Neurospora crassa OR74A: one gene and its partner. The protein of the gene in region 2 interacts with the protein of the main gene of each other region in a pairwise test. Links are inferred from orthologs where the notes say so. Each region holds a gene or a part of one and is shown on either strand. Other genes may lie near its edges.

Evidence for each region.
Region 1: the proteins of NCU07438 (region 2) and NCU06347 interact in binary tests that used the Saccharomyces cerevisiae proteins (3 or more experiments, as listed by UniProt). The link is inferred for Neurospora crassa OR74A from reciprocal best matches to the Saccharomyces cerevisiae genes LAS17 and END3.

The regions. Positions count from the first base shown.
Region 1 is NC_026504.1:2,820,925-2,830,950, reverse strand, and holds NCU06347 (actin cytoskeleton-regulatory complex protein end-3), read right to left. Parts: upstream 6,188-10,026; 5' UTR 5,777-6,187; coding exon 5,540-5,776; intron 5,426-5,539; coding exon 5,191-5,425; intron 5,118-5,190; coding exon 4,399-5,117; 3' UTR 4,186-4,398; downstream 1-4,185. Other genes in the region: NCU06345 (tyrosyl-DNA phosphodiesterase), read left to right, coding at 1-500, 560-1,957; NCU06346 (hypothetical protein), read right to left, coding at 2,541-2,693, 2,890-2,957, 3,151-3,235; NCU06348 (myo-inositol-1-monophosphatase), read right to left, coding at 7,048-7,847, 7,956-8,073; NCU06349 (hypothetical protein), read right to left, coding at 9,084-9,749, 9,865-9,966. UniProt on the Saccharomyces cerevisiae protein: Component of the PAN1 actin cytoskeleton-regulatory complex required for the internalization of endosomes during actin-coupled endocytosis. The complex links the site of endocytosis to the cell membrane-associated actin cytoskeleton.
Region 2 is NC_026501.1:624,871-635,111, reverse strand, and holds NCU07438 (WASP-like protein las17p), read right to left. Parts: upstream 8,761-10,241; 5' UTR 8,539-8,760; intron 8,360-8,538; 5' UTR 7,960-8,359; coding exon 7,750-7,959; intron 7,694-7,749; coding exon 6,025-7,693; intron 5,948-6,024; coding exon 5,916-5,947; 3' UTR 5,525-5,915; downstream 1-5,524. Other genes in the region: NCU07435 (chitin biosynthesis protein CHS5), read right to left, coding at 1-394, 466-537; NCU07436 (hypothetical protein), read right to left, coding at 1,363-2,391; NCU07437 (eukaryotic translation initiation factor 1A), read left to right, coding at 3,046-3,104, 3,308-3,348, 3,486-3,535, 3,612-3,769, 3,852-4,017; NCU07439 (hypothetical protein), read right to left, coding at 9,425-9,586, 9,669-9,740.

The sequences.
Region 1 (10,026 bases), on a different chromosome or scaffold from region 2:
CGACTGTTCGTGAACTGGCTACCACTCTGCCCGTCACCATGGAGAACAACCGTCCGTCAAAAAGGACAGTTCAGGATGCTGAGCTGGGTAAAGCCGGTGATGTTCGGAATGGTGGAATTAGCAGGGCAACACCACGATCTCTCAGTCGTGCTGTCAGCCCTCCGCTCAAGAAACGCCGCACAAGCCCAGACAAAGGAGAAGAAGAATCCTTTCCCACAGAAGAGCAGGCAAAAAAGCAGCCATGTTCATATCGTAGGGTCGTCGCGTCGCCCTTTCATCTTACCACGATTCGCTCCTTGGGACAAAATTCCAACATGGATACCGTATCACTCAAGGGCCTTCTTGGTGACCCCCTCATCAAAGAGTGTTGGGAATTCAACTACCTTCACGACATTGACTTCCTCATGGGTGCGTTTGATAGTGATGTCCGCCATCTGATCAAGGTTCACGTCATCCACGGCTTTTGGAAGAAGGAAGATCCCAATAGGTTACAGATACAGGTATGCCAGAACAGCTACTCACCATCCCGTTGTGCGTTCAGTCCTGACCGACCCACTAGTCTGACGCCGCTCGCTATCCCAACATCACCACACATCATGCCTATCTCCCCGAGCCGTTTGGAACCCATCACAGCAAAATGATGGTGCTCCTGCGAGCCGATGATACGGCGGAGATTATCATCCACACGGCAAATCTGATTCCGAGAGACTGGAGTAATATGACACAAGCCGCCTGGATATCTCCTCGACTTCCCCTTTTGAAGCCAGACGCCCAGCAAAATACTTCCTCTACTCGGTCCCCACCACCGGCCGGCTGCGGTGAGAAGTTCAAGATAGACTTTCTGAATTATCTACGCTCATATCGGGCTGCCTGTAACCCTCTCATTGACCAACTCGCCAAGTATGACTTCTCATCAATCCGCGGCTCACTGATCGCCAGCGTCCCAGGACGGCACTCCCTCGTTGACGATTTTCCCACCCGATGGGGCTGGGCCGCAATGAAGGAGACTCTCAAGTCGGTTCCCGTTCGCCAGGCGGGAGATCGAGTTCAAGGTGGTGGTGATGTTGATGACAGTGAAAAGCCCGAGGTTGTAATCCAGATATCCTCCATCGCCACTCTGGGTCCAACAGACAACTGGCTCAAAAACACCCTTTTTGAAGCGCTCAGCGGTTCCCAAGGCCCCAAAACCCTATTGTCGTCGAAGCCCAAGCCAGACTTCAAGATCATCTTCCCCACGCCGGACGAGATCAGGAAGTCACTCGACGGTTACGCATCCGGTGGTTCCATCCATACCAAGATCCAGTCAGCTCAACAAGCCAAGCAGCTCCAATATCTGAGACCCATGTTCTGTCACTGGGCGAACGACTCGGCCGATGGAGTTGGTACGACTACTACAACCCCCATCCGCGAAGCAGGCCGCAACCGCGCCGCCCCCCACATCAAAACCTTTATCCGCTTCGCTAACCACAAGACTAAAAACACTATTGATTGGGCCCTCCTTACGTCAGCAAACCTCTCTAAACAAGCGTGGGGCGACGCGCAGAGCAAGAACAATGCGGGAGAGCCGCAGGTGCATATCTGTTCTTACGAGATTGGCGTGTTGGTGTGGCCGGAGTTGTTTGCGGATAGTGATGGTACTAGTAGTGGCAGCAAAATGGGACAGAAGGCGGTTATGGTACCTACTTTTCTCAAAGATACCCCTGCGATTCATGGCAGTGAAAAAGATAGACCGTCTTCATTGGGGGAGAAGCAGGGTCCTACGTCAACTAGCAGGAACGGCGAGAAGGATGGTAAGGGAGATGATGAGAAGGAGGAAAAGTCTTCGACGGTGGTGGTAGGATTGCGGATGCCATATAACCTCCCGTTGCAGAGGTACGGGCTGCAAGAAGTGCCTTGGGTTGCCACGGCGAACCACTTGGAGCCAGACTGGATGGGGCAGGTTTGGCGGCATGGATGAGTTGCGGAAATGGTACGCAGCTGATCAGTCCATTGATGTGGGTGGTTAATCTGCCCCTGAAATGAACTTCTTGATGAGCCTACAAGTATGTGGTCAGTATAGGACGGCACAGCCTTCCTGTTTGGTAATTGATACCCCTTCCGCTTTCCTCTCGTGTGGATGTGATTCCACACGCGGCTCAAGCGGTCACATCATGTCATGTCTTGTATAGACGGGATATTACAGACGTTTCTAATGTAGTGTAACTGAACCCGCAGGAAACGGGGATATTTCTCGTTTGCAGATCTGGACATATACACGACATAGGTGGCTTGAACTGCGTACCTCGATACTTGATATTTCCATTGTTGTCAAGACCTCAGCAGCATCTTCCTGAGTGTTTTGGTCCAGACAAAGATCGACACGACATCCGTCTCTTGTGATTGTGCAACTACGGCTTCCATCATACCACAAGAGCCTTCACCACTTCCCATCACCGACTAGACTCCACATACAGATAGACCGCGTGCAAACATGGCCTCGAACACTCTTCGGTCTTTGTAAAGGGCATTATATTATAAGCTCAACGGGGTATCTAAACTCCTTAGTTGGAGCCAACAGCCTCGGGGGCCTTGTTCTCATCGTAGCCGTACTGGGTCTTCATCTCCTCGACCTTGGCGACGTACTTGGTCTGGGCCTCCTCGGCCGAGAGGCCATCGTCGACAACCTTCTGCCAGGCGTTGTACTTGGCCTTGCCCTGTTATTGGTAAAGAAAAAGAGGTAATGTGTTAGCTACTGTGTCTGGGCGGAGGAAGGGGACAGCTATGGAGGGGCCATGGATGAATGGAGGTTTCGTGATTTGACCAACAGCTACCAGAGCACGCGCGCACGCCTGATGAATAGAGGTGGGATGAAATGGGGTATAAATAGCGGGAAGACAGAACGGAACGAACCTTCAGGTCGAACATGCCGGGCTTGTCAGCCTTGGAGAAGTCGGCGCCGGTGGCGACCTTGTAGAGAGCTGTGAACGGTTGGAAGAGAATGTTAGTTAACTGCTGCCTTGCCCGTAGTCATGAGTTTTTGTTGGAGCTCCAGCTCTGTTCGATTGCGCGCGCGAGAGACTAGTAGGTAATATAGCCCTCGGCTGGTTCGTGGTTCGCCGCCAGCGCAAAGAGCATACATATGGGAGTGGGGTGGGACGTGACGCGACGCACCATAGATCTCGAGAAGGTCCTCGTTGGAAGGCTTGGAAGTAAGCTTCTTGGAATCGGCAACGGCCTTCTCGAAAGCGGCAGACATTTTGATTGTTGGGGGTGGGTGAGTTGGTTTACTGTGGTAGAGGTATCTGTGGGTTAGCTAAAGACTCGAACGTGGTTACAGATACAAGTTGCGCGTCGCGTACGTACGATGGGTATATATGGAACTTGAAGAAGATGGAAATGTGGAGGCAAAGGAGACGAGAATTCAAAAGGTTGAGGGTTGAGGCAGGGCAGTTCTTTTAAGTATGCGAAGTACCTTCACCTTGTACCTAGACTACAGCACGACTTGTTGAGGATCCAAGGATGGGATGAATTGCAACTCTGGAACCGGATTGGCGGGGTAGGTACCTTCCAGGCTCCAAAGTGCGGAGTTAGGTAAACACTCGCTGTGGAATGTCCAACAGCGAATGGTGGAGAGGGGTCTTTTTCCCCTGGAAGCTTTTCCATGTGACCATGAGCGTCATTGCCCCACTAGTGTACTCATCGATCCTACGATAGCATCCACAACACCCTCTTCAACTCATTTTCAACCTGACAGCCTCACTTTACGCTTATTTATCGTGGACTCAGCTGCTCAAACCAGTAATTACATGATCCAGATGGGCCCATGTGAAGATGCAATTCATTCGTACCTTTTGAGATGTTCCAACCACAGCAACTCCGAAGCAACATATTGCTTGTGCCTGCATATTTGGCAGGACATGTATATCAAGGTACCAGTGGAATAAGACTGGAAATGGCATAAACTAGGATTTCCGATGCCTCTTCACGCTGATGAAATCGAAAAGATATCTATACGGTCAAACTATTCTACTCCTTTCACATTTCCCGACAGCCTCTAGCGGCAACAAGCAGAGCCACCATGTTGTTGCTTAGACAAGCGCTGAGTGCAAAGGCGCGTGGATTGTGATGCTTAAATTCCCCTGAAAAGCACAGTCAACATGATACCTTTCATTGTAATATACCATAGCACCTGGGAAAATTACACAGTCAAGATATGCGCCATCAGGCAGCTTGTTGTTACTCCACTGAATGCCATTAAGAGATTATGCTGTCTTAGAAAGATGAAACGTAACCGATGAACCCAAATCATTCCTGTCCTGGCAAACTGCCCATGGTCTTCGCCTCGAGGAACCCAGCAAAATATCACAGCCCGCTCTCTCTACCTCTTCAACCCATCTCCCTGTACCGACCCTCAACAGCTTACCTCCCAACCTTCTCCTCCTCAATCTCCCTCTTCAACTGCTCCAACACGTCCTGCCTGCTCCTCAAATGCGCCTCCAGCCCTTCCACCTGCTCCTTAACCGTCGCCAAATCATCCGCCACGCTCTTCAGGCTCCCACCAGCCGCCGCCTTCCCCTTACCCTCCTCCAAGTCCCTCAATTCCTTGCGCTTATAATCCAACAGCTGTTCCAGCTCCCTCTTGACCAGTGCCGGCTTTGTATCCCTTTTCCCGCCCCTACGACGGTTCGCCGCCTCCTCAACCTTGGCCATCTTCTCGTCCAGCTCCGCCAGCTGCTTCTTCAGCCTGACTTCCTCCCACTGATCGTCCGTCTGCTCGGACGAGAAGTCGGTGCCGGCCGTCTTGAACGAGGAACGGCCTAGGCGCGTCAGGTACTGATCGCCGAACTTGGCCTTGCGGCCGGTAGAGGTCTCATCGTCGGCCTTTTGGGCCCAGCGCGACTGCGACGGGTCGTTGACGTTGTATGTGATCTTGTTGCGCTCGAACGAGGCCCGCAGAGAAGCGGGAACGGTGCGCGGGATGCGGAAACCTTCGTGGCGGTAGTTGAGGATGTGCAGGAAGGCGAGGCAGGCATCTTTGTTGATGGTCGAGGAGGCCGACGGGTTGACCAGGTTCCAGGCCGAGCGGATGTCGGTGTCGGGAACGGAGAGGGAGTCGTAGAGGTCTTGGAGGGCGGCGACTGCGGGTAGGTAGGTAGATTAGTATGAGGTTAGGGACCGGAAGGGAAGGGAAAGGAAGGGATGTAAACATACAGGAAACCTCGCCGCGCATATCTCGGTTCTCTTGATAGATTTGCTCGTACTTGGACTTATCCGCCGGGCTCATGTACCAGTCAAACCCATCCTTCAAGCCGGGGGTATCGTCTTCATCTTCGACTTGCTCGAATTTCGGCGCCTTGCCGGTTAGCGCGCGGTTCGCTTGCACAAGGTGGGCTTTAGATTCGGGGACAAGCCAGTCTGGGAGAGTTGTCGGGACATCAGCGTATTCCTGTTACCGTCTCCCCCTGTTAGTTCTCTGATACTGCTGCTATTACTGCTCCCATGCTTGCTTGCTTGCTCGCTCGCTCGCTCGCAGCTTCAGGACAGAAGGAGGTAGACGAACCCCGTTCAAAAGGTCAAAGATGACCCTCATCGCAACACAAAATTCCTCGAAATCAAGGTTTCCGTCATTGTCCACATCGGCCAGATCCCAAACACGCTCCAGCTGGTCATCGCGCAGGCCACTGTTCTTCAGCACCGGCGCCGCCTGCTCGCCCGTCAGGAACTTGCCGCCATTTGTTCGCGCCGAGAAGATGTTCCAGTACGTCTCGATTTCCTGCGCTTCGATTTTTGGCGGCATTGTCGCGGTTGGCTTCGTAGTAATTATATGCGTGTAAGTGGGTTGGAAATTTGGCTAGCAGCTACCTCTCAAGCTGAAGGGCCGTGAATCGCAGCGGCAACCTAAGTCCGGGGGCAACGGCTTCCGGTTCCTGTCCGGTGGTAATGCGGTCGTCGACGGGAGCGCTGATTGATTGACCGACTTGGAAATGATGAGAGCAATTGACGATTCGATTAAGCGAGACGGTCACGGAAATAAGTGGAGATTGATACTCGGGTCAATGTTAGATAATGGAAATGAAGTTCGATTGGGTTTGAGGTTATCTCGAGGAAGTCAGGTTGGGTCGGTTGTTGCCAGTGTACAGCCCCGTAGCGCGGTGTGATTACAGTGGGAAGTTGTCAGGCGGATCCCAGGGCAGCTGCAACGTCCAAGCTCCGTCTCTTGTTGTCGGTGGATGATGCCTCGCAGTATGACCGGGACCGGGGGGATGGCCCGATGTGCGCACATGGCTGTTGTGCCTTGCCGTAGCTTCGAGGTACATGGGTCTCCACTTTCTCTCTGCCCCTGAGCCCCTTTTTCATCCAAACAATGGCATCTCGTTGAACTTGTGTCAACTGCATGATGTGATGTTCGTCGTCTTCACGTCCATGCTATAAACTCGAAACCACGCACTCGAGGATTCAAACTGTTTGTGTTTCTTCCCAGTGAGCGACCAGCGTGGTCCAGGTTATAGAGGTTACAGATAAAGCGCACATGCTCACTAGGTAAACCACAGCAACCAGCTCAGCTACCAGTTGGTGCCGATTCCTTCCAGCATTGAAAGGAATAGCAATACTCCAGGCCATGGCATCAAACATGTCTAACTTTATGAGTCATAAAGTCGCAGAAAACCTTTATTCACATCAACGGTCCGATGGTGTAGTTGGTTATCACGTCAGTCTAACACACTGAAGGTCCCCAGATCGAGCCTGGGTCGGATCAAATGCGAATTCTTTTTTTTCCTTCTTTATCAACCTTTCTGCAACGTACCTTGCCACATCTTCACACATCAAGGAACGAAATCACCTTCAGTTTTCTTCTTGATCGGCCATAGGACCGTGATGCAGCTGTCACTCACATTGCTGACGGGCGAACGACCCTTTCCCGGATATCGCACCCCAATCCAACCCTTCTAACGATAGCCTTAACTCATCTAGTCGACATCTTTCCAAATCCAATATGCCTGCTTATTACTTGACCCAATGCCTGATAACCTAAGCCCGTACCCAAAACCGCGTCATGTTCACCAACCATTAGTGCTTATATTCCATCCTGTCATCCCCAACAACCCCCCAAAACTCCTCCACAATCTCCTTCTGTCCGCTCTCCGCTCCCCTGACGGCCAAATACAACCTTGAATCCAACTCCGGGTTCCAATCCCCCGGGTTTGCACTAACCATAATTCCACCCGCCTCCTCGAGAATACACCACCCCGCCGTCACATCCCACGCATAACACCCGCCCTCCCAGTACATATCGACCTGACCAGCCGCCACTGCGCAGATGTTCAAGGCCGCGCTGCCCAAGCTGCGCAAGCTGTGCACCATACACCCGCCATTCTCCTTGGCAGCCGTCAACTGTCTAAACACCCTGGTCTTGATATCAAAGTTCTTTCCCTCGCGCTGACTACCCCACTCGACCGCCACCAGGGCCGTGGAAAGGTCTCCTAGCGGCTGGCCCCCATTCAGCGGCAACTTTTGCTTTGGCCCCTGTCCCTTTCCTGGTTCGAGAGAGGCGTTGCGCTGACAGTAGGCGCCCTGTCCCTTGGTGGCCGTCCAAAGCGTATCGAGAGCGGGGTTGTAGACAACGCCCACCGCGGGGCGGCGGTCGAGGGCGAAGCCGAGCGAGATGCAGAAGCCGTGCGGGTAGCCGTGGACGAAGTTGGTGGTGCCGTCAATGGGGTCGACGATGAAGGTCGGGGCGGAGGTGACTTTGGTTTCCCCGGCGACGTAGGTCTCTTCGCCGACGAATGAGAAGGAGGGGTATTTGGAGCGGAGAGTGGTGGAGACCATACGCTCTACGGCTTGGTCGGTTTCGGTGACAATGTCGGCGGCTGTTGAGCAAGGGAAAAGGGTTGTTAGTCAAGGTAGTTGAGGTTGCTTGCCGAGGATGAGTAGGTGACTGCTGGGGAAGAAGTCGGAGGACAAGGAAAGGCACACACAGTTCATCTTCGAACCCTTGTCAATGTTGTTGGGGTTGGCGGCGAGGATCATGCGGCCGGCCTCGAAGGCGACCTCCACGAGAGTGTCATGGATCTCTTGAAGGTTGATGTCGGGCATGGTGATGGTGGTTGCCGTTGTTATTAGATATTCGAAATATAGTATAGCAGTGAAGGACAATACTAAATGACAACGGCGTCGTATGAAGGAGCTTATATATAGATGAACAGCTTTGTTTTTATAGTTGACCAAGTGTCAATGGAATTGGTATATTAGAAGGAGAACCTTGTTGGTTATAAGCTCTCAGAACTCGGGGGTACATAAGCTACAAGATGGCATGCGCGGGGGAGGTGGAGAAACAGCTAAGCTTCCATGTCATGGTGTGATGGTCCGTCCCGTCAGGGGCTCGGCCAGCTCGGCGAGGGTGGGGCGGGATGCGGCGGAAGTGGGGTCTTAAAACATGTTCTCTTTCCGGTTTCATCCCACCATCCGGTATCCCGAGGGAGACATTGGACGGCCGCAAGACTGATAACGCACGAGGGAAGACCGGAATGAAAGGATATTATGGCGTCGCAATCGAATACGGGATGCATCATATGTATTCCCTCTTAACTCTTGAAAAAGTGGGCGTGCTGGAAAGTTAGGTGGTCGTTCGGTCTGTGTGAATACTTGGTCGGTCGTCATGAAGATCCTCCCTTACCAGCCACAGGTTTCCGCGTTTGACGTGCTTGGGCATTCTCAACCCATTGAATAATACTGACGATTGGTGGGTTGCTTCTCGTATGGCCTTTCTCATTTTCAAGTAACTCTTGCGGCAGTAATCGAACACTGATAGAAAAAGAGCCGTGCCCCAACTCCCAACTAGCCGCCTTTCCCAGAAATGACGAACCACCCAAATCCAAATGTTGCCCATGCCGCATCTTTGCGTAAAAGCATAGTGATATCCGTTAATAGTTACACGGACACCTCTTTCTCGTAAAGACACGTCCATGCCAGAATCATGTAGCCGCGCCTATAACACCCCCAGTAGACCATACCTCGTGCTTTTCGTGATCAGAAAGCCGAGAATTGTTTTTCTTATCCCTTTCGTTGTGCTGCCCACGGTGTCAATCATTCATTCGGTCATCACTTCATACATCCTCTCTGAAGATAGACCTCCTCTCCACTGGGGTCTCAGGCTCGCCATTGTTGTGACCACTCGGCTTTGAGGCTCCCGTGCCCTCGATCGGACGGGGGCTGACGCCTCTCATGCTAACGTTGGTGTGATCCGCGGCAGCATCGTCGAACGGGTTTTGGGGGGCAGACACACTCAAGCCCTTGTTCGCAGCCGGGCCAGGAGAACGGCTTCTCCTTCTACCTCTCTCTTCCTCGGGATCTGCGAACGGGTTGCTAGTGCCAGTGCCGGTGCCAGGCTGACTGTTGCCGGGGTTGGTCGCCAGGTTCATCTGGTAGCTCCTTCCTCCGTAGCTCGTATCATCGCCAAGGTTGTTGTGCCGAGAGGGCTGCATTTCCGTCTCCTCATAGTATGCAGGTCCATAGCCATCAGCCTCTTGTCCAACACGCGCATCCCATGCCTCATCTGGGTCGAGGGGTCCGAAGCCGCGGCTCCGGGCGGCGTTAGCGTTAGCACCGGAAGGCTCGTAGGCACCAGCTGCAGTGCGATTGTTGTTCTTCTTGAACTTTCCGAACCAGCCCTTAATACCGCCGGAAGAAGAAGAGGTGTTGTTGGCATAGGGAAGGGAGTTTGAGGGCTCGGGCCAGAAAGGGATGTATGAGGTGAGGGGTGGTGGAGGGAGCTGGAAACATGATGTTAGTTATGTTGCCAATCATGATTCGTTCATAGAAAAGATTGGAATTCGCCATCGCAGATTCGAAAGAGCAGGCGATGTTGAAACCCGACGGACAACATACCCCGAGACGTGTTGCTTGGGCGCGCGAGATTAGGACATAGAAGATGGCGGCAGCCACCACTGCGAGGAAGATGCAGAGGATGATAACGCTAGCCGGCCCCATGGTGAAGGTCGAGTTGGGTTTGATGGCTCAGTCCCTCTTTTCTTCTCCGTTTGTTTGTAG
Region 2 (10,241 bases):
CGCTGGCCAGGGTGCCGGCCGTTGTGCGCAGCACCAGGTGGAATGTGTACTCGGTGTCGACGGCCAAGCCCGAAATCTTGGTCGAGTGCATGGCGGTGGGTTTGGGAATGTTGCCGGCCTTTTGGCCGTTGCGATAGAGGGCCAGGCTGATCAGGTCGGCGGTTGCGAGATCGATGGGGTCCCACTCGAGGACGACGCTGGTCTGGGTGGCATTGCGACAGCGCAGATTGGGAGCCTTGGGCTCGGCAGCACCGAGGGCGTTGAAGATCTTGTCTTGGAGGGCGCGGAAGGCGCGTTCGGCTTCGTCTTCTGAGGCAACGTTGCGGGCAACGGTGACGTCGACAATGGAGCCCGAGGAGATGTCGGGGGGCAGGAGGATGGAGGGGAACTCGATCTGGCATCAGAAGGTGAGATTAACACTTGTCTTGTTCCTTGACTGGGGGTCACTGCTGGAACCAAACATACCAGTCGCTTGTCCGGAGTTAGGAGGACGGTGACGCCGGCGTCGACCTTGCCGACGGTCAGGGAGACGAGCATGATGGCTCGCGATGGGGATGTGGCCGGATTGTTGGTAGGTAGAGAGAGGTAAGTAGGTCGTCAAGCTTGGGAAGATGTGTAGACTACTAGGTAGGTAGCTACAGCTTCGACCGGGGATTTCAAGTGCTGTGTGGCCTCTTTGGAAAGCTGCAGATGATAGCTGCTGCCCTGGCGGAATCTCGAGTGGTTGACTTCCGCTTGGTTGGTTGATTCCTGTCTTCCGTTTGTGATACTGTACTGGAGCTGTTCATACAGTAGAGGTACCTAAGGTAGTGTACTCGAGCCAAGGAGCAACCTAAGGGACGGGAAGCAAGCTGTCGCCAAATCTCACGGGCAGGGCATTCAGGGCATTGCCTGAACTGGACCTCAATTGGAGCTTCCCTGACTGCCAGCGACGGGCTGTCCAGTGCTGCTGAACCTCCCTGGAGCAGCTCCCTTGTTGACGGGAAATGTGGAGTCTTGGCCGGAAACGCACACCTCGACGGGAGCCTGTGCTTGGCGCCAAGACTTTGATGCTTCCCCTGAATGGTTCCACTCCAAAAGGTACGTATCTTTTCCACTTCTGAAGCTCTTGGTGGTGTTCGAATATCAGGTTTGGGTGTTGTTGTGAACGGCTTCTTTGGTTCCCCAAGTAAAGGTAGGTATCTTAGTAGTACTGATCGCTTCCAATGTGCGTTACATCCTTCCGACGTCCTCTTACTGTTACTCTATATGCTGTAGAGGTAGACAGCTGGCTACAAAGAGACCCCTCGGCGAAGTCGACACTCAACTTGCGTTTGCTCTTAAGAGTCTACCAAGCGCCCACCTTTCATCTGTCCCCAAGTCCTACTTCGATCCTGGATTTTGCTGACGGGTTCGGAACCGTTCGGCAAGCTGTTGTACACGGGAACTGGATCCGTCTCCTTTCATACTCCCATCCCTCGCCCTTGGCTCCGAAACCCGGTTGCCAGCACGCATGTCGGTCTGTGCTGTCTCTCTGGTGTTTCTGTAACTTCCAGCACTCGGCTGCCCTGAGCCACGTTGTTGCAGCTGATCGCTGTATCCTCTGTTTTGAGGTGGCACGCTAGATCCTTTGTGTTGAGGGGACTGTTCGCCAACACGAACCCGCCTAGGCTGAGCCTGTATCGGCCATTGTGGGACTTGGAGCTGTTTGATGATATGCTTCTTCATCAGTTTGTCAAGCGCGTCATGGATCTCGTGGTCGCTCATCTGGATGAACTCCTTGCCGTGTGAGATGCGAACATGAATGGTGCCGTGAAGCACCGATGTGTCGTCGAATCCCGGCAATCGATCCCCCCACTGGCCATATCCATTCGCCTTGAGAGCCTTGTGGACAGCCTGTCTCAACCTGTTCACGCACACGGTCTTCACTACGGGACGAAGGTCGGCGTCACCGTTGTAGACAAACAACCATAATGGTCGGTGCTTCTTGGAGGTGTAATGGTGGAGGAACATGTCTGTCAAAGGATGTTCTCCTACACCAAAGTACTTCATGACCGACTGTCTCGTATAGCAATGCTTCGTGGCCGTCGAGACCATGAACGGAGCATTGGCAAGATCCTGCCCTTTGACTGCCTTGACGTCGTAATAAGTTCCAATATTTAGCGCGTCGGACAGGGCCTTGACTCTTTTCGATAGTACCGGCTCACTATAAGGACTCCAATTCAGCTGAGTGTAGCCGTATCCTTGCGCCGCATCTTCTGGGATCTTGGCCTTCATGCCCTTGCCTCGCCGTTGATCACAGCCTCTGAGCATCAGAGGGCGTAAGGGTCGCCATCTGGTCTTGATAGTCGACGCCAAGTCAACAAGGCCAGCAGCTGAAGTGGCACGCTTTGGGATGGAAGGCAAGGACATGGAAAATGGCCAGTCGGCTGCGCGCAACTCTGTAGTGACTTGAAAGTTTGGCGCTGATGGGCAAATAATCGAACATCATGTTGACGGTGGATGAAGACACAGCCGTGGTGGGTGAGAATCAGACGTGCGGTTGCCGTTGTCACAAGTATTTTACCAGTATTACCTTACCGTACTGAGCAAATTTGGTCCAAAATCAGCCACCCACATCCACGGGCATACACAGTATTATGTGATAATTATGCAACAGCCGAAAGAACTGCGCAAGTCCGCCATGACTCAACTGCACCATTTTGCCTGCGCTTTGGACCTTTTGATTCGTCAGCACAAGGTCCGAGCCACCCCTTTTCGCCCATTTTGCCCTACAAGTAGCCCACCTTCCATGATTTCTCTCCCAAGTCCGTATCAAAGATTCTCCACATCGACAATACCAAAACGCCTTGCTTTCGTTTCACGGCGGGCGTGTGAAAGACGGGTACCCAGAACCCGCCATTCCTCCAGTGCTCCAGCACAGTTCTTGACCCCCAACCAAGTCCGTCATCCACTCCACGCAGCCGTTGCTGGATTTTTGTCTTTCTTCTCGCATCAACACCCAATTTACACACCGCACCTACACCGGCCAGCCGACACCCGTAGTCGTCGACAACAACAGCCAACATGCCTAAGAACAAGGGAAAGGGTGGTAAGAACAGGAGAAGAGGAAAGAACGAGAACGAGTAAGGATTTTTTTTTTTATCTTTCCCAGCTCTTTTTGCCTGGTGTTGCCCGCCCGCCGACGACGACCAAGACCCATCGCGCCGCCCCGCATCGCCGCCACTACCAAGCACCATGGCGATGCGCGCGCATACTAGCTCGTCGTCGACAGAGTCGCATACCATAGTCCTTGCTTCTTCATCATATAGCTAACCACTTTGAACAGCAATGAGAAGCGCGAGTTGACCTTCAAGGAGGAGGGTCAAGGTACGTGAACACCCCGGTGTGGCGAGCAAGCGAAACGCACACAGCACACAGCAAAAACCTGCGACATCGACGCTCGCCCATGCCTCTCGACAACAACAGCAAACGAACAACAAGCTCACACATGTCTTCCCCTGCAGAGTACGCTCAGGTCATCAAGATGCTGGGTAACGGCAGACTCGAGGCTATGGTATGTCCTTTCCACCCCTCCCTCGTTCGATTACCTACAAGCATAACATACATTCTAACTTTTGCCCCGCTTTCAGTGCTTCGACGGTGTCAAGCGCCTCGGTCTCATCCGCGGCAAGCTTCGCAAGAAGATCTGGATCAACAACGGTGACATCATCCTTGTCTCCCTCCGTGAGTACCAGGATGAGAAGGGTGATGTTATCCTCAAGTACTCTGCCGACGAGGCCCGTTCTCTGTACGTTTTTTTTTTTTTTTCCCTTCCGCTCTCCGTGCTGTCAACAACAGCCCTACTAACCACCTGCTTCGCCCATCAACAGGAAGGCCTACGGCGAGCTTCCCGACACCGCCAAGATCAACGAGACCGACACCTTCGGCCCCAACGAGGACGGCGACTGCGGCTTCGAGTTCGACGAGGACCGTGACTCCGAGGAGGAGGATGGCGCCGAGGCCGGTGGCAAGGCCGTTGATATCGACGACATCTAAACGTGTCGTTGCCTTCTCAACACCATATCGTCGCCTCATTCTTCTCGGCACCTAAGAGGAAAAGAGGCAACAAACACCAAATTGTTACCGAAACATGCGAAATAACGCCACCCTTTCCCAACTTCCCCCTTCTTCCTATCCACTCCCTTTTACGTCCTTCTCTCCAAGTCGGTATCCCCAAAGGGTCTGGCCAGGAAGTAAAGGGGTCGTCCAGGAAAGTCCAAAAAAGCTGTCTTCTCTCTCAAACCATTCTGGTGGTCTCTGTTTTCGGTGTGTGTCGGCCGTACGCAGCCAGCCCACGTTTTTTTTTCAACCCATCAACCATAACCGTTAACAGCAGCAGCCAGTTTGGTTCCCCGACAGTTTGGTGTGCCTATTATTTCCTTGTTTTTCCGGTAACAAGACAAGAAACAAATCTTACGAACAAAATCAGGAGGAGGAGAATCGGAGCCAGGTACAATGGTGGGAGGGACGTCATTTACCTGGGTCCGGTTAGTTGGTTTGCGGGACTCGAGGTCCTACAACCAGGCAGAACGAAGGAGGAAGGCTGGCAGAGTAAAAAAGTTAAAAAAAGGGGGGGCGAAGGACATAAAGAGCATCGATCCATCCGCAATGAAAAGAGGATGGTTACGTGCACTCTGGGATATTAAAAGGGGTTAGGCTGTTTTTATGATAGGATGGCTTTGTCATAAACGTCTTTTATGTTCTTTTAGGGGGCTCTCTCATGTCTGGTTTCTTTTTCTTTTTTTTTTTCCCTCTCTCGAGCTAGGAAATGGTATTTTGGTACGATCACACATTACTAGGCTTCTCGGTTCACGCGAGATGTGTCTGTCGGTCACTGGAATGTGACCCTGTAAGAGCCAAAGCACGTCCTTGTTCTACTCGAGGACAAGACGCAACATGTGTTAAACAGCACCTCTTCATCCCCTCCTCGCTCAAGTCCCCATCCGGCTATGTACATATATCATTTTTCGTTCCTCTTCTTGCTCCTTGCAAGACCCGCCCGCACCGCCCAGTAAAAGTCTTGCTTGTAACAACATTCCATCAACCTCACTAGAAGAGAACCGCCGAGATGTCCTACTCTTCACTATTTATGCTTATCCTGGTCCAGTTGTTCGATATATGACCAACACTTCTTCTACGATGTTTCGGAGCTGTCCGTCTCCCCCTTATTCAAATTGTTTCTATGAGACTAAACCAAACCCAAGTGACGAAGTAATTACTGGTCCGTAGGTAGCTCTCGGAAAGCAGCAGCATAAGAAACTCGGGACTCAGGAACATTGAAATTGTTGAAAGCGGCAACTACTGTAGTCACGCGACCGAGTATTTTCCTTTTTTCCAATACAAAACACTGTCAAACAGTCCTAGGTAGGTAGGTAAGTAAGTAAGTAATCTTCAAGATACATATATATCAATGAAACCTCTTCAGGCACTCGCCGCTGTCTTTGAAGAGTATCAAGTTAAGATGGGAAACAGAGAATAAAAAGCTGGTATAGTATTTCTGAAAGTGGAAAAAAAAAGTATAATTTTGCATTTCTTTTGTTTTCTTGTTAAACACCAGTGACGAGGTGTGAATATTTCCAAATACGGTGAAGCTATATATATATATATAGTATGCAACGACACTGCATCCTTTCTTTCATTCCTTCCTTCCTTCCACCCCTCAGCTTTCCTCTTCCCCTTCCTCTCCTTCTTCTTCTTCCTCCTCCTGTTCCAGCAACGGCCCATCCTCGCCGTCATCATCTCCTCTATGGCCAAATAACGACCAGATGAATGGATGATGGTTGGATATCGGTGTCTCTCCAGTCTTGCTTTTCATTCCTTTTGCACTCTTCTCCTACTTGGAACCTTGTTGTTTTCCGGTGGCTCTTCACCGTGTCATTGTTGGTATCGGGCACTTAGTCCCAATCATCACCATCATCTTCATCATCTGTTTTTCCACCAGTGTTAGCATCATTCTCGACATGCTCTCACACTTCACAAGCCAGGGATAATCCAGATACTTACCACTCTTGCTAACCTTCTCCTTTCTCTTCTGCAACGCCAACGCCAACGCATCCGCCATTCCACCACCGCCACCCGGCGCAGCTCCAGCGGGCGGCAATCCACTGCTTGCGGGCCCACTATCGGAGCCACCAGGAACAGCAGCACCGGAACGATCGCGAATCTGGCTTCTGTCTACCTTCTTCAACGCCCTGATACCTCCCGCGGTCTTGATGCCGTCCAACACGGCCGAACGACTGCCGTCAACAGGTGGCAAGGCAGGGGCGGGCGGTGGAGGCATACCACCTGGAGGAGGGGGAGGAGGAGGGGGAGGGACACCACCCATACCACCCGGTGGAGGAGGCGGAGGCGGAGGCGGTGCGCCGCCTGATGGTGCGGGCATGGGTGGCATGGGAGGCGGCGGCGGGGGAGCATGTGCTGCGGGTAGAGGGGGCGCCGGAGGTGCTGGCGGTGCCGGTGGTGGCGGAGGAGGCGCGCTGGTTGCGGGAAGGGGAGGTGGTGGAGGCGCCTGGGTGGCCGGTAAAGGCGGCGGAGGTGGCGCGTTCGAGGTCGGGAGAGGCGGTGCCTGCGGTGGTGCCGGGCTTCTAGTTGGCAACATGGGGGGCGGCCGTGAGCTCGCAGGCGGGAGGGGAGGTGCTGGTCCCGGTGCCTTGGGAGGCAGAGGAGGTTGCGCAGCTGAATTTCTCGGGGGCGGTGGCGGAGGAACAGAGCTACGGCTGGGAGGCGGCGGGGGTACACTTCGTTGGCCTGTGAATGGCGGAGGAACGCTGAACCTCTGGCTCGGGTCCTGATCTTCGAGTGGCGTCTTCGGCGGCCGGGGAGGTGGTGGAGGTCCAGGCGCAGAGGGCGTATGTCGCGGGGGATCAGAGTGGGCAAACTTGCCAGCATCGGCGATGGGAGGAGGAACAGCAAATCTCGGCGGAGGGGCCGGTTCCTGGTGGTTTTCCGTGTCGAGCTTGCCGGATCTCCTTGCTGGAGGGGGAGGCGGGGGTACTGGCCCTCTCCTAGAGGTCGATGGAGTTATCGACTCGGAGACACTGCGCGGAGCAGCAGCAGGAGGAGGTGGTGGGGGAGCTCTCATTGCGGGACCATTAGGAGGAGCGGATGGCGGCGGCGGCGGCGGCGGAGGAGTGCTCGTGTGTATACCCTGCTTCGCTTGCTCCTGTTTCAAGAACTCAATGATAAAGTCCTGGTTTTCGCGGATGAAGTCGTCGTCGAGGCCTTGGGCCTTGAGGTCGTCACCGAAGTGTTCCCTCCACAGGGGATCGAAAGCATCCAGGGTCGCAAACTCGGAAGGAGGCTTGTATCCGTTTATTCCATTAGTGCTTCCAGCTCTCATACGGCCTGCCGGTGCAGCGGCACGTGGCGACTCGGGCGGGGTGGCTGTCGGAGACGCGTGCTTATGTCCTCCAAACAGACCGCCGAAAAGACCGTGGTGCTTGTGGTGGTGTGCCTGGGATGCGCCTCCGAAAGGTGTCTTGCTGGTAGCCTTGCTGGCGTTCTTTTCCCTGTCGTTCATCTTCTTGAGGAACTGCTTGGCTTCCTTCTCGTCCACGAAGGACAAGCCAGCCAGGCATTCCTCAAGCTCGAAGGTATGGAAGAAGACACGGTCCTGGTTGTAGTTCCAAGTGTCGAAGATCTCCTGGTCCCATATCACTCCCCTGTTTCCGGGCTGTCCGATGTCAGCCAAATGGTGGCCAGCCACGCAATCGTCATTTTCACACTTACCGAGATATCAACCATCTTGATCCAATATGTGTTGCCCACGAGATCATTTGCCAGAACGACGGCACCCTGGAGGCCGGTATAGGTCCATCTGGACGGGTTGGGGTAGGCTACATAGAGCCTGGCGACGGCGACGGCGTGGATCTTGTTGGTCTGCTTGGGCACGCAGCGCTTGACCGTTTCCTTGTCGTCGTCGCTGAGGATGGACGGCATCGTGAATATATATGGGGGGTGGAAGCGTGGAAGTGGCTTGAGGTAGGTTGCGGCCTGTCGTCCCCTTTAGATCGTCCAGGGGGAGCAAAGCATGGATAGATTGGGAGTCGTTATGCGGAAATTCGGTAGAAGGACTCGGCCGGCGGGCGCAGCGCCGAGAGGTACTGTTATGAAGCTGAGTCGTCGTGCCTTGATCCGGTCGGCGGGTCGGTCGGCGAGGGGAGGGGGGCAACGTCGACCGAAGGGTGAGGTAGCAAGTCGGAAGTGGGATGTCGTATTAATGCTTTTCGGGTCGTTGGCGCTTGTTATCGACGGCCAAGTATCTTGTCGGTACAAGATAAAGTAAAGCTCCGCGCTTCCGTGGCCTTGCCGCGTAGGAATAAAAGCAGTTGACGGAAGCCTAGAAGAGACAATGGAAGTTGCCGGTTAGCTAGAGGTAGGTCTGGGTATTGGAGGCACGGATGTTTGGTGGTTGGTGGGAGGAATAAGGAAGACTCGGCCGCCCGGATGTCCAATGACTGAAAGGAGCAAAAGCAGATACTGAGTAGAAGAGACGGCGGCAGGCTGGGAATAACGTACCTCGGACAATGATCCAGCAGCCTTCAGTTGGCAAGCTTAGTTATAATCTGCCGTGAAAATTCAATGTATTAAAGCTGTACAGACTACAGAGAGAGGAGCAAGTCCCATTGCAAGGTAGACAAGAAGGAAGTTGAATTGCGGGTGTACCTGGCAAGAGGTTCCTTAGGCATGCAGTGAGTGTACACTACTTAACTACACTATGTACGGGGATTGGGAGTTGCATCACTACGGCGGCGGCAACGACCGGGCTGTTTGGCTTTGACTGAATGGAATCAGGATGGCAACGAAACCCCAGCAAGCCACAATGACCAATTTCCGACGGGAAGCGACCAACTTGTGGACATGAACCAGATAGCGTCATGACATTGTGCCGGGGGTGGATAGGGCGTCAATTGTCCGTGTCCACTAACAGTGGGTACCTATCCCTCAACTGAACCCCTCCACTATTCCCGCCCGCCGCTTGCACAGCCGACCTTTCGCTTGCCCGCCGTGATGATGGATGTCCAACGAGACGGTTCCTCCGAGAGCTGGGTGTTTGAGGGACATGTTGAAACTGGCAATGACAACAACTTCCATGTGCATTTGGAGGTTATATGGCTCAGGTTGATATAGGATGAAAGTAGTGTAGGTATGTACGAACATGGGATGACATGAAAGTACCTACCTACCTTCACATGCTAACATTGCTCCCATTTGAGACAACTTTCGAGGACCAGACCCCTCTCATTTGGGCGCAATTCCACCACCAAAGTCACTTTAGGCTCCAACAGGACTGATCCATCAGAGTAATTGTCAAAACAGTTCAATTATGTTATGTGTATGTGTGTGTATCATTCAGTCATTGCAATCATTCCATCCATTCCCCTGTTTGTCCGAGTCCATATCTTTACTTGTTGAGCGTCTCGGCCTTGGCCCTGCGCTCCTCCTTGGTGCCCTCCTCGCCGCCGATGTTCTGCGAGATGGCGGGACCGGGCATGGCCTTTGACGCCTGCTCGAACGTGGCCTTGGCACTATCAGCGAGCTTGTTGAGGGGGTTGTTGGGGTTCTTCTATTTGTTTGGCCAAAGAGTCAGTTTTCTGTTTTCTGTGATTCACACAAGGCACCAGACTAGGGAGGAAATGGTAACGTACTTGCTCGTCCTTCTGGGTGTCGTGGGGAAGAATGTTGACTTCCTTCTTGCTGAGATCGTCGCCGCCGGCCATTGTGATGGTCTTGATGTTATGACTTGTCTTGATGGTTCGTGAGGAGTGGGTCGTAGTGAGACAACTGAGAGGAGTCTTGATCAACTTTTTCGATATCGTCTTGCAGGAAGATGGGTAAGGTGTAGAAGTGGAAGGTTTTGAAGGTCGAGAAGGGTCTCTTTTATAAAAGAAAACGATGGATGAGCAAAAGGGAATAAATAGGAAGAAACCTGTAGTCGTCGTACCACGTACAAGGGGCCTAAAAGAGAGGGTGTAAGACAATGACGTCGCCTGGGGGTGGTCACGCGTCGTTTACTAGTGTAGGTATGCGGCGGCAGGCACACTGAATGACAGCTGCTAAAACCTCCCACGAACAGCGCATCAAACCGACAAGACGGAGCATTGGATCTTGACTCCGACTGGAGGGAACCACTCAGGGACCGCCATTAGTACATACATACAACACACATGATACCGTGATACCGTCCCGGGCGCTACTATCATCCCAGCTTTTCTCCATCA